Caenorhabditis elegans: one gene and its partner. The protein of the gene in region 1 purifies or fractionates together with the protein of each later gene. This does not show direct contact. Each region holds a gene or a part of one and is shown on either strand. Other genes may lie near its edges.

The links.
Region 2: the proteins of C34B2.3 (region 1) and plc-2 fractionate together in Caenorhabditis elegans (co-fractionation; one large-scale study listed by BioGRID). This does not show direct contact.

Annotation. Positions count from the first base shown.
Region 1 is NC_003279.8:10,670,312-10,675,459, forward strand, and holds C34B2.3 (Protein kinase domain-containing protein), read left to right. Parts: upstream 1-2,425; 5' UTR 2,426-2,501; coding exon 2,502-2,603; intron 2,604-2,662; coding exon 2,663-2,779; intron 2,780-2,991; coding exon 2,992-3,086; intron 3,087-3,135; coding exon 3,136-3,205; intron 3,206-3,396; coding exon 3,397-3,492; intron 3,493-3,536; coding exon 3,537-3,620; intron 3,621-3,673; coding exon 3,674-3,892; intron 3,893-3,971; exon of another isoform or gene 3,972-4,103; intron 4,104-4,144; coding exon 4,145-4,249; exon of another isoform or gene 4,250-4,298; coding exon 4,299-4,385; intron 4,386-4,432; coding exon 4,433-4,513; 3' UTR 4,514-4,553; downstream 4,554-5,148. Other genes in the region: fkb-7 (peptidylprolyl isomerase), read left to right, coding at 1-254, 352-523, 585-659; C34B2.4 (LIM zinc-binding domain-containing protein), read right to left, coding at 1,234-1,351, 1,399-1,477, 1,522-1,592, 1,637-1,698, 2,213-2,278; ttc-1 (TPR_REGION domain-containing protein), read right to left, coding at 4,967-5,148.
Region 2 is NC_003283.11:15,190,516-15,198,482, forward strand, and holds plc-2 (Phosphoinositide phospholipase C), read left to right. Parts: upstream 1-2,056; 5' UTR 2,057-2,207; coding exon 2,208-2,270; intron 2,271-2,361; coding exon 2,362-2,460; intron 2,461-2,774; coding exon 2,775-2,957; intron 2,958-3,001; coding exon 3,002-3,144; intron 3,145-3,205; exon of another isoform or gene 3,206-3,218; coding exon of another isoform or gene 3,219-3,354; intron 3,355-3,398; coding exon of another isoform or gene 3,399-3,484; exon of another isoform or gene 3,485-3,494; intron 3,495-3,587; coding exon 3,588-3,666; intron 3,667-3,710; coding exon 3,711-3,811; intron 3,812-4,558; coding exon 4,559-4,707; intron 4,708-4,758; coding exon 4,759-4,914; intron 4,915-4,961; coding exon 4,962-5,913; intron 5,914-5,959; coding exon 5,960-6,056; intron 6,057-6,247; coding exon 6,248-6,572; intron 6,573-6,616; coding exon 6,617-6,721; intron 6,722-6,769; coding exon 6,770-6,870; intron 6,871-6,917; coding exon 6,918-7,055; 3' UTR 7,056-7,109; downstream 7,110-7,967. Other genes in the region: cyn-3 (Peptidyl-prolyl cis-trans isomerase 3), read left to right, coding at 118-318; Y75B12B.11 (DUF7808 domain-containing protein), read left to right, coding at 794-863, 915-998, 1,047-1,143, 1,198-1,321; Y75B12B.13 (uncharacterized protein), read right to left, coding at 3,219-3,354, 3,399-3,484; srw-1 (G-protein coupled receptors family 1 profile domain-containing protein), read left to right, coding at 7,740-7,967.

The DNA of each region.
Region 1 (5,148 bases):
ATGAGCAGAAAGAGCAAGAGCAAGGTGTGGAAAAATATACCGAATGATGAAAACTGGCTGATTTTTAACATTGAAATGGTCGAGATCAAGCCATACACCCCAGAGATTCAGTTTAAATTTTTGGATTTGAATGAGGATGAACAGTTGACAAATAAAGAGGTTCAAGATTTCCAAAAGAAAATGAAAAAAGAATTTGGAAAGACATGGAAGAATGAGGATATTGACAATGTCACTGCTGCTGGTTATTATATCAAGTAGGTTATGCATATTTATTATTTGATGGATTCTCAAATTACTGGAGATTTTTATTTCAGAAACTTATTTTACATAGATAAATTAAAAACATTCCAGATATTTCGATGTGAATGGAGATGGAATTGTGACAGAAGTTGAATGGCTGAAAATTATGGATCGAGATGAGAAACTTATCAATGATAAGAAAACAAAAGAAAAGGGACGAAAGAGAGATCCTGGAATTGGATGGATTTTGGATTTTGATAATGACGGAATTGTTTCTTATAAGGTTTGTGGAGAACTGTTTTGCTTTAAAAAAAGTTTCAAATAAAAGATAATTTAATTTTCAGGAAAATGATGAAGCTGCTGATCGATTTGATGCAGGGCCAACACTTTTGCCAATGGAATCAAAGGATGAACTCTAATAAATTAAATTTCGTTTTGTTGACTAATAAAATAACTGTTTTGAAGTTGATATAATAGTTGTAGTAATTTTTTGTAGAGTCGGACCTTTACGGGAAAACCTTTTTGTAAATTTCTAACCCAAAAACATTCGATTCAAAGTTTTCCAATAACTATCATGAAAAGGAAGTAAATTCTATGAAAAAATATGAAGAAAAATAGAAATTGGAAATCAATCTGTAGTGCCTTGTCGTGTCTCAAAGTCTATGAAAAATTGATAAAAGTCTGTATGTGGTGTTTTAATTGTCTTGTTTATCAATAATTTTTCTGAACAATTTATTATTATTATTATGATTGAACCGGGCAAATTCCAACATTTCCCGTGCTTAATAAACTCCGAAAATTTTGATGTTATGTCTTTTGGATCACCAAAATCAGTTCCGTGTAGTAAAAAACGTAACAAAAACGTGTTTTCCCAATTTGAACATTTTTAGCTTGTTAAAAACTTGACTAAAAATGAAAATTCATTTCTTTCAAAACAAGGCTAATACATATGTAAGTCTCCAGAAACTGTTCGGTTTTGTGAACAATCTGGATTCATTTTGGCAAATCCTTTGCAACAATCATCCGAAGCTGAAGATCCCAGAAACAATCAGAATGGACACACATTCGATTCGGAAGTTGATGGAAATCTACTTTTAATGGCTTCTGGCACCTGAAAATGAAATATTAACTGAATTAAAACGGAAATAGGTATATTACACAGAACATTGGAAGCAAGTGGGATGCCACGTGGAATTCAGCGCCTCACAAAAGTTGGTCTTGATGAACTCGCCACAACCTGGATATTTATAGGGTTTCTGAAGTTTCGGAAGCTTTAGATACCTTTGCAAATAGGACGAGTCGTCTTGATATGGCACTCGGAGCACAGGATCACTCCATTCTGTGGAACACACCTGGAATTGATTAATGTAAAACTATTAATATTTAAATGAAATACCTCTCCCCGTCATTGATACGGCATTTGCACAGATCGCAAAGCAGATGATTCACGTGCCAGACCTGAAATTTGGGGTTAACTTGTGATTTAGATGGGTTAAACGGGCTAAACTTTCAAACCGAGAATAAAAAACTAGCTCCTTGTTCATATTTTGATGATTTCGAAATAAGAAAATCCGTTGTATTTTATTAAATTGAGAAGTGTAAATTACTTTTATGGTGCCAGATGATCAAATATATATAGTAAAACTTTTAACAAATGTTTGGAATTCGAGTCAATTTCGAGTCAAAAAATGCCAATTACTGAGCTTTTGTCACTTTTTGTGAAAATTATGGAGCTGTCGCATGCTCAAATTATTATTATTATTATAATAGTATGAAGAAAAACCTTTTTTTGAGCGACAACTTCCAAAAAAGTGACAAAAACTGTGTAACTAACACTTTTCGAAACAAAATAAAACTGTATTCAAAAGACTTATGAAAAGTCACACGACGGGAGTAGTTCCAACAATTTTCTAATTGGAGCTACTTCACCTTTGACTGTCAGCTTTCGAATAAAATTTCGAGAAAATCTTACTTTTCCATTTGCCAGAATAGCCGACTCCTCGCCAATTTTCACCGAGCAATGTCCACATTCGTTCATTTTGAAGTTTAAAAAACTCTAATTTTGTTGGAAATAAAATACATTTCAAATAATTGACTTTCTAAAAATTCCCCACGGCCACGTGTTCGGCCTTGATTGTGAAATGATAAACAAAGAAAAACTTCCAAGAAAAATTGAAAACCAATCAGTTTGAATTTCGCATTGCGAACAATTGCGTCGTCGGATAAGAACAGAAAAGTCTCGGCTCAAAAAAGATAACGAAATGGAAGATCGTAACATTACGGAGGAAGATCGCGTTTGCCCACAACTCCCTGAGTTTGATGAACAAGCGAATGTTCAAACGGATTTGAAGAAAATGAAACCGGTTCGTTCAGATGTTCAGGTTTTCTTTATTATGGTTTGAGAAATCGACGCTTTTTCTAGGGAGATGCAATTGGAAAGAATTGGAAAGTGGTGAAAGCAATTCAATCGGATAAAGGATTCAATACAATCTACGTGGCGGAGCATGTGCAAAAGAAGAAGAAGATGGCAGCCGTTAAGGTACGATGTTTCAGGTGTGCCTATCGGCGTGTCAATGTATGGTTTTTGGTGGTATGCCTGCCACATTTGATACGGTCTAGGTCCTCGTAGGACCTAGTCTAAGTGAAAATAAGGCGGTAGGCAGGCAAAGGAGTACGCAATTTCCCAACATTCTATAAGTTTCAATATTTCTGTAACACGAAAAAACTGCCAACCGAGTTTACAATTTTCAGGTTGAAAGAAAGACGGAGGCCATCAAGATGCTCCAATTCGAGCTTTTCGTCTTGTTGACAGTTGAGAAGAAAAACCAATGCAAACAATTTTGCAAGTAAGCTGGAGAGATTTCAAAAAAAGATTACAAAATCTTTTATTTTCAGACTGTTTGAGAAAGGAAATGAGAAGGAGTACAACTGGATTGCAATCACCCTTTGTGGAAAAAGTTTGAGGGTAGGTACATGACTAGAAGATTCTACATGGCAGGAATCCCGCCCTCGCCTCTCGCCGGCAAGTCTTACCAGTTGCACAGGGTATTGGCAACTAATGAAAAGAGCAAGAGACAGGTCATCAAGACCAATTGCACACAGGGAAGCGAAAGCGCCTGCTTTTCACCTCGACAGTATGCAAAGCCTATTTTTCAGGCTCTGCGCAAAAACCAGCCAACTGGAAAACTAACGGTTGCATGCGGATTGAGTGTTGCCCAACAATGCTTGAAAGGTCTTGAAGAGCTTCATCGAGTGAGAAATCTAACTTTAATTATTTCAACTTTCTTGATTTTCAGATGGGATTCATCCATCGCAACGTTGCTCCGTCCGTATTTGCAATTGGAAGATACACTGGTGACAATCAATCTGATTTAAGAAATGTAAACGCATAAACTTTTTTTTTCAAATTTCAAATTCAAATTCCTAATTTCAGATCTATATTCTCGACTTTGGATTTGCTCATCAGTACATGATTAAGGATGGAACACTGAAACCTCCGTCAGCTCATCCATGGAAATACGTGGGAAGTCTTCGTCATATGCCACGTGCCGCATATTCGAAAGTGGAATTCTCAAGAATGGAAGACTTGGAAATGTGGTTCTATATGAGTGTTGAGCTGGTTAAGGGATGTCTTCCGTGGGCTCATTTGAAGGTAAGACTTGTTGAGTAGAATATGGCTCCAAATGCAATCGAAGAATGTCTCTGAAAGTAACTTTGCATCAAAGAACGGCATCACTATACCCTTGGGCTTTTACGGGAGGCAGGCGGTTTCAGGCTTTGGCACATGACTGCCTGCCTGACGCCTGCCTGGAAATCCTCCTTTGCATATAACTTTGCACGGCGAAGTAGGTGTAAATGCATTTTTGACATATATCAAAGCCCTTCTCTATGTATCCTTTTCCAGAAACCAAAAGAAGTGCATGACTATCAAAAGTTGTGCCGAAATGGTCTTCAAATGCGTGAAATGCTCGGAGGTCTTCCACCAGAATTCGTCGACATTATGCAAATAGTAGGCAACTCCTTTGCAACTTTTCCCCTAACAATCCATTCTTTTTCAGGTTGACAAACTTTCATTCACCGACACTCCGAACTACACAGAAATCTACGGACTTCTCACCAACGCGATTCTCTTCAGTGGCAAAAATGTATGTCTTTCACACAATAAAAGTGTTATCATTTATCATAATTACAGGAATTCCCGTACGATTGGGAGGAGGCTGAGATCAACGAGTTCAAGAATCCGCAGAAGCCAAGTGTGGAGCAGGCAACCTAATAGCTCTCTTTCTATGGAAATAAATTGACTTTTTTGAATATTCAAAGTGTTTTTATATCTTATAACGTTATTCCATAAACTCCCAGTACAATACATCTACAGAACTAGAGAAAAGAGAGTTCAAAGATCAGAGATCAAACTACATATGAACAGAACGAAACTGCATTTTATATGTAGTTACATTGTAGTAAACGATATAATTTCATTTCAAAAGATGAGTTATCATATATTTAGGAATGACCCTTTTGTAGATCCCCTCCATCCCTGATACGGTAGCCTTAAAGTTTCGATCTTTTCGAGACCAGAGAACATTTTAGTGTGAGCGATTAAAATTTCACGAATACAAATAGAAATGTTCATTTTAATCTTTAAAATCACGAAATTGAAAGCAAGAAGACTATTAACCGGAATGCAGATAGAAAATGTACAGAAAATTCAAAGAATGTCGGCCAATTATGCATTTTCCTCTTCTTTCTTTTCCTGACTTGCACCTTCTTGTTTATTCGTAGCACCTTTCATTTGAACCGAAAATCCTCCATTTCCATTCGGGACCATCTCAAAACTGTCTGTCGAGAGCCCAAACGGCGATAGACAGAAATTTCCGAAACCCTTCAGTTTTTCCATCACATCGGCTT
Region 2 (7,967 bases), on another chromosome or scaffold:
GCTGAGCCGTTGTTAGGAGAAATTGAATGATTTATGAGAAAGAGCAGCTGAATGTATCAGTCTCAAAAAATATCAGAATTTTTGTCTGTCTCGAAAGTAATATTTTCAACATTTCAGGCTAATGCTGGACCAAACACCAACGGATCTCAATTCTTCCTCTGCACCGTCAAGACCGAGTGGCTCGACGGAAAGCACGTCGTTTTCGGACGTGTCGTCGAAGGATTGGACGTCGTGAAGGCTGTCGAATCCAACGGATCCCAATCCGGAAAGCCAGTCAAGGACTGCATGATCGCTGACTGTGGACAACTCAAGGCATAAATTAATTGCACCCGAAATCTCCTTCATCTCTTGATTATATATTTTCAGTATTCAACTAATCCATATTTTTCTCATAAACCTCAGTTATCCCCGATTGTTCCTTTGAAGAAACCCAGGTCTCATTGAGAAAAAAAAAAGAAATCAGCTCAGACGTTGCGCATATTTCCATCTTCTGGCGAAAGGCGCGACGTTGGGTCCCGCCTTTTCAGGCGACATCACAATCCGATCGCCTCGGCCACTGCACAAGTCATCGATCACCGCTGAGGAGTTGAACCCGCGTCTGTTGTTTGAAGACGGCGCGCTTTACCACTGAACCACTCGGTCGCGAATAGTAGTGCGCCGTTGTGTACCTATAAAAGTGTGCGTAGGCAAGCAGAGAGGAATAATGAAGCGGAGAGTTTCAGAACCGGATTTCAGCTTTATCTAATACTTGAATCTACATGCAACATCCATTCAGATTTTAATTCAATCTTTAATGAATCGCATCTACTATTTATTGTCGCTTTTAATTTTTCTAAACACTATAAACTCTCTTTATCAATGGGGTAATTTTTAAAAGATTAAATTTTTTTGAATTGACATTAAAAATTTCTCAGAAAATCGGATTTTAAAATGTGAAAACGCCAACTGCTCTCTTCAAAAAACCGGCGAAGAATTTAAACCTGCAGTTTGTGAGAAAGGTCGTCTTTTTATTTGAATAAACTTTTGAAATCGCAAGAAAAATTCAGATTCTAACGGAAAAATCGCATGTGATATAGAATGTGATAAAGCTGATCGTGACAGTGTTATCTCAAAAAGGCCCACCGATTATCGATATTGCAATAGGTGATCCGATTAAATTAATGTTTACAGTAGTTTCAAAAATTCTATAAATTTAAGGTTTTACACATACAATGCTGAAAAGACTTCCGATGGAAAATATGTGATTTGGAGAAGTGGAAAATGTGCTGAAGCAAATATTACTTTATCTGTTCATTGTGCTTTTGCGGTGTATATGGTCTGAAATAAATAATTTTTCTGGATTTTATTGTATTACGGTACCCGAGAAAGTACGCAAGATGTAGACGTGGCACACCATTCGACGAGCAAATTGGAAAAATTAAATAAAATTGACGACGAGATATTGTATTAGTTCTAAACTCGATCAAGAACATTCTCTTTATTTCGAAATAAAATTACATATGTACTTTTTGGGCTAAAAATAAGTCTCGCCACGACACAGTTTTGTTAAATAACAAAGATGTGCGCCTTTAGAGGGTAATGTAATCTCAAAATTGTATTGTCCCTTTTCTTTAATCAACTTTTTAAAGTTTTCCAAGCGAATTAATAAACTCTATGAAAATTGGAAGGAAATTGCACAGCAAAAATTTAAATTGCAGTACTGTTTGAAGACGCACACTTTTTTGACGAAAACATGTCGTTTTGAGACCGGGCAACGTGATTACCTTATGCCTGCCTGCCTACTGCCTATTTGCTCTAAAACATGTACTTTGGATGTAGGCACGCGTGTAGGCATGAGGTCAGACATATGTACATATTTGTCCTATATTCATTCAAAGACACACTCGATTCATGTTCCCATCTGAAAACCAAAAATCAAATTATTCAAATACATACTATAAAAAATCAAAATACAATTAGTAACCTTTTCTACAACTCACTGGTGACATCACATAAACCTTGACATTTTCTTCTTCATACTGCTCCCCCAATCAAAGAATGCTATCAGTTATCAATCATATGCACCAAACACAAACATTCGTACAGCCAAATTCGCTGCGTCTCTCCTCAAACTCGTACTCTCTCGGGCGTCTGCTGACGACACGGAAAGCTGATTTGGTTGGAAACTGGCCTGGAAAGTGACAAAATTGTCACTTTCCTCCGCCAACATGGCAACGAAACCTACTGACATTTTGCGTGATGGTAAATTGATTTTCTTTAAATATGAGGAGGTGAGGATTTTACATTGTTGTAAAAAAATTACTCTTTGTCAATGGAGCGTATTTGGGTAATCAAAAATATTTAAAATTATGAAATTTTCAGAATTGGACAAGCCGAAATGCCGTTCGTCTTCATGTTGATCCAACACCTTATATTTTGTATTGGAGGTACAAGGATCCTAAAGTTTTCAATACAAAGGAGGTAGGTTGGTGCCCTTAAAACCCCCATAACTATAGAATAGGCGAAGCTGCGAAATAGATTTCAACTATAAAATATTATCCATATTTTTTGAACATTTTGTCAGTTGAAGAAAATTTTTCTTTTGACGGGGGAACGCCACGTGAGGCCATATTCAAATTTATTCAAAAAAATGTTTGAAAATTTGAGAGTTCAAGTTGTAAGTAGGAGGAAAGTTAGAGTAGAAATAAAAAGTAACAATAATCTATTTCTATATTTTATTTCATTTCTACACCTCTTATTTGTCAATTTTTCATATTAGAATACCAACTTTTCAGCTTGCTTACGAGAAGAACTACATTTATCTAGAACGAATCTATGACGTTCGTGCAGGAAAACCGACAGACTTTGAATTAGTGCCCAGCGAGAGAAGTTATGAGCCCAACTTTTTGACTATTGTCAGCGGGACAAGCATCACGAATCTAAAGTTCACTCATTTCGTGTGTATGGAGAAGAATGAGGTGATTTCGTTATACTTTAACCTAAATCCTTTGATTTGATTCAGAAACGCCTGCACGAGTTCGCCGCCACTCTATTTACTGTGGTACAGCGTGTCAAACGGGAAGAGCACGGACTTTTGTATCATTTTCGTAAAAAGTTGGCTCCGAAGATGTACGCGGCGTTTACTAGAAGGTGTATTGAAGAAGAGTAAGTTTTTTATACCGTAGTTGCAAGGTACACCTAACTGGACGCGAATTGCTGCATAGTAAAACGTTCATTATTTAATTGTAATGATGCTTCAAATAATTTTCGACGTTAATATCAATGTGCAGCGAGTTTTTCCCACGTCTATCATACTTTTGGTGGTATTGATCAACAGCTTTTTCATCCTCAACCGGAGGAATTGTGCAATCGAAGCTGTAAATCTTATTATTTAAATTAAGCAGTACTGCTAACTTTACCAGTCAAAAGTATGCGCATCCGTTGGTGTTCCAAGGAAAGCCACCAAGAGAGAAAGCAAGAAAATCGAATATAGAAAGTTTTTCATAGCAGAAACTGGATAGTTTTAAGCCTTTGCGTCTTTAAGAGCGAGTGTATGATTGAATTAGCAAAGCACATGGGAGCTTGATTTTTGATCATTGAAGTTTCAGTATTATGAAGGTTTTCGACAAGCATCGAAAAAACTCAACGAAAATTGAATGGACAGAGGTTGGAAAACTCCTTCCAGTGGTGAGTTAACATAATGCCTGCAAAACCATTACAGTCTCATTCAGAATCGAAAGTCTGTCGAGATAGACGATCAGAAGCTCATAAAGATCATTATGATACTTACCAAGTTTGAGGGTTCCAGGTTGGAAGCTATATTTCGAAAAATGTAAGATTCTTATTAATTGCAATTTACCTCACTAGGGAACCATCAGAAGGTGCCCATCGGACTTGCATAGGAGACCTATGCCATTTAATAGCCCATGTCTTAAAACGGTTACTCGCGAATTTTTAGCTGCGAATCTCCAGAACCAAGCTTAATGCGGGCTCTCAAAGATCCTACAATAGCACTGTAACGAAGCACTGTAACAATCAAAAGAAGCTATTTTCCATATTCACTTTGGTAGCTCATATCTCCGCGGATAAATTTTTAACAGAAAAGTCATCAACTGATAAGTTGTTGAACTTTTTGTAAAGAGCAAGTTTGTAGTTGAAAGTTTTCACCAAAAAAAATTCTGTTTCAGATAAAAGCATTAGAATAGCAATCGCAGCCTTAAAATAGTAGACAACAGTTGCCGCACTTCACGCGCTTTTATTTGAAACAACAATTTTTTTATTAAAAACTTTCAATTACAAACTTGTTCCTTACAAAAAGATCAACAACTTAAAATTTATCCGCGGAGATATGATCTACCAAAGTGAAGCTGCAAAATTGACCCTTCAATTTTTCGTTATAGTGCTATTTTCAGGATCTTTGAGAGCTTGCCGTGAGCTTAGTTCTGGAGATTCGCAGCTAAAAAATCACGAGTAACCGTTTTAGACATTGGTTTAAGACATGGGCTATCGAATAGCATAGGTCTCATATGCAAGTCCGTTGGGCACCTTCTGATGGTTTCCTAGTCAGTTTCATTTTCAGAAGCGAGGATGAACCTGTTGCCACAAAGTTAGAATTTGGCGATTGGCTTAGAAAAAATCAACACGATCATCGACTCAACGACGCTAGGTTCAATCAGGTGTCAGATAGGAAGATCAACTCGATTTTAGAAAACTGGCAGTATTCTAGCGGTTAGTCTAGCTACAATTGGAAGCTTCTTTTAAAAACGAGGCTAATTTCAGATTCCGCAATTTCACCTCAAATGTTCACACATTGGATGGTGTCCGATGAGTGCGGAGTTGCGATTTCGGCACAAAGAATGAAGATGGATGTGACTAGTATGAGAGAGCCGATCAACAAGTATTTCATTAATTCTTCACACAACACTTATTGTTCTGGTAGGTCATCAACTCACGCGGACTTTTTTTTTCAAATATCCGTTCAGGCAACCAACTGGTCTACGCAATTGGTCATTGCTCCGCTGACGTTGAGATGTATCGTCAGGCTCTTCTAAGTGGAAGTCGATGCGTTGAGCTAGATATGTGGGATAACAAGGACAAAGATGGAGAACCTGTGATAACTCATGGACCAACTGCAGTTATGGGAATGAACGAGATTGGATTGAAAGAAGTTTGCGAGGCGATCAAGGAATGTGCTTTTAAGACATCTCCCTATCCAGTGATTCTATCCATTGAGAATCACCTTGGCAGAAAACAACAAGAGAAGATGGTGCAGATCTTTCGTCAAGTATTCGGAGAGCTGCTGTTGACTGGCCCACTTCCAGACTACCCCCTTTACGCTAAAGAGGGGGCAGGCGACGTTGTGTATCCACCGCCGGAACTTTTGAAGCACAAGATTCTGATTAAAGCCAAGAAGAAAAGATTCGAGAAACAGGAGTCAAGAAGTCGCGATAGCTCGAGCATTGATCTACAGGGATCTTCAATCGATTTGACCGAAGATGAAGAAATGGAGAATGAACGATTCAATGAGCTCACTGAAGAACAAAAAGCCGCCCAGCTCAGCGAGCTACCAGAAGAAACAACATGCTCCGAGCTGTCCGCCATCACCAACTACATGCAAGCCTATGAGACCAGTCGTGGAGTTTCCACAGTTGTCAATCTAGAGAATGCTACAAAGGACATCGTTCCATGCATAGTATCTGCTGATGAGAATACCGTTTACAACTGTCTCCGTGCAAATTCCATTGATAAAGTCCAAAATCTTAACAAATCAAAGATCACAAGAATCTACCCGAAAGCCTCTCGCATCTATTCCACCAACTACAACCCGATGATTCACTGGCTAACCGGCTCGCAAATGGTTTCGTTAAATATTCAGACAAATTGTTCGAACATGCAACTGAACTACGCAATGTTTGAGAGAAATGGAGGTTGTGGGTATGTTTGAAAAATAGAAAAAAGGGCGTGAAGTTTGAGCTTGCAGATACGTGAGAAAACCTGATTGGCTCAGAGCACGGAATGTTCAGCTGAGGCCGTTCTTGTCGATTCCATTCACGATAGCGTATACGGTCGAGGTTGAGGTAAGCAAATTTTATTATCATAGATCTTCTCGGGGATTCTTTCAAGTTCTGAAGTTCACGAAAATCTCTTCCTTGAACTTTTTTCAGAGGGTTTCAACCCCAAATCTCAGTGAGAGCTGGTAAGAAAAAGATCAAGCTTATTACATTAGACAGACCTCTAGACATCTTTCAGTTTACACAATCTTTCTCAGATCATTGCCGCATACTTCCTCTCTTCAATGGATTCTGGCAAATTTCGTCGACGAAGTTCAGTTTCCATTCGCCTCTTTGACGTACCTGATCAGATATCCAAAGATGATGCCGCATCGCCATCAGTATCCACGGCTGCAAAATTCGAATCCAGCTGCCGACGGCGTACTCGAGAGGAGGCTTCGTTTGTCACTAACTATGAGCGTCATGTATACAGTTTCGACAAAATCATGTTGAATGACATGTCATTCATTCAATTCAATGTTCATAATGAGTCGGGTAGTGTATTTGCTCAACGAATACTTCATATTGATACTATGAATAATGGTGAGACAACCGCATAGTTCACTGATTTTCCTCAATATTTCCAGGATATCGCTTTGTGACACTTCGTACTCCATCTAATCAGTGTGCTGGGCCAGCATGCCTTTTAGTTAGATTTGATCTTTTTATGCATTCAGATAGGAAAAATTTACGTAAGTTCTTGTTTTAACAGGAGCCCTGAAACTGTAAATTGGATTCAGATGACTTGAAGCAAATGTACAATCCACACGCATTTGAAAAGGAGTCTGACAAATGGGAACGAAGATTCAGCAATCCATTTGCAGACCTGGACAAGTTTGATGTAAGATTTCCATACTTACAGATCAATATCAAAAGTTTGAATTTTAGGACAATGAGTTCCTTCTAGTAGAGGGAACACGCAGAGGATCAGTGGAGCATGCACCAACAACACCCACCACACCAACCAAGCCAATGTCTTTTGGGAAGGAGATTCTGGAAAAGATATCGTTTTGGAAGAAGAAGTAGAATCTAACATTTTTTGCACAAAAAATACGAGTTGCATAAATCTACCTGGAATACAAAGAAACAAGAAGTCGTATGCCCTTACATTAGCAGCAACTACAGTCAAGAAAAAAACAGTCATTAGAAAAAAAAGGCTTTTCGCAGGTTCTTATATACTTTCAAATGAGAATCTGAAAATCTGGAAACTATAGAAATAAAAATCAACCAAGAAGCTGTTGCTCATTATATTGTGCAAAAGTTTATTTATATTTCAAATCATTCAGGTCAAAAGAGGCAGCGGCCGTCATCTCAAAAGTCCAGTTTTGGCAGTTTTTTAAAGCATGTAAATTATTCACAAATATCATGACACAAAATAAAGCGGCCGGGATTTCGTGGCACCATTTTTGATCAGAAAAAAAGGATTCTTGGAACCCATCACATGTCTGCTGCTTTCACGAAGCGTCCAATATTTGCTACTTTTAAAACCCGTAATATGTCCGCCACTTTAAGGAATTCATTGAAATCTATTCTGAAAATTTAGCTGGTCTATTCATTGTCCAGATTTTTAATCAGTCGACATTTTCAAGCCGCAAATTTTCAGTCAGATCAAAACGTTTATGTGAACCAAAACTCGTAAACATGTAATTTACGTCTAACAATTTTTCTCCTGCCTATGTATTCTACTTTACTCTCCAGTTAAAAATCGAGATGAAAGATGTATGGCCGGATGCGGCTTCCGCGTTCTATTTTGACTACCATGCTCGTCTTGTAAACACTGTCATTTCATTCCTCGGCTTGTTATCCAACATTTTCCATTTTTCGATTTTAATCCGAAAATCTCTTCGATCAAGCCCTGTGTTCAGTATGATGTTTGTTATATGTATCTGTGACTTGCTGCAACTATTAACACAGACTCAAAACGATATCAAATACATT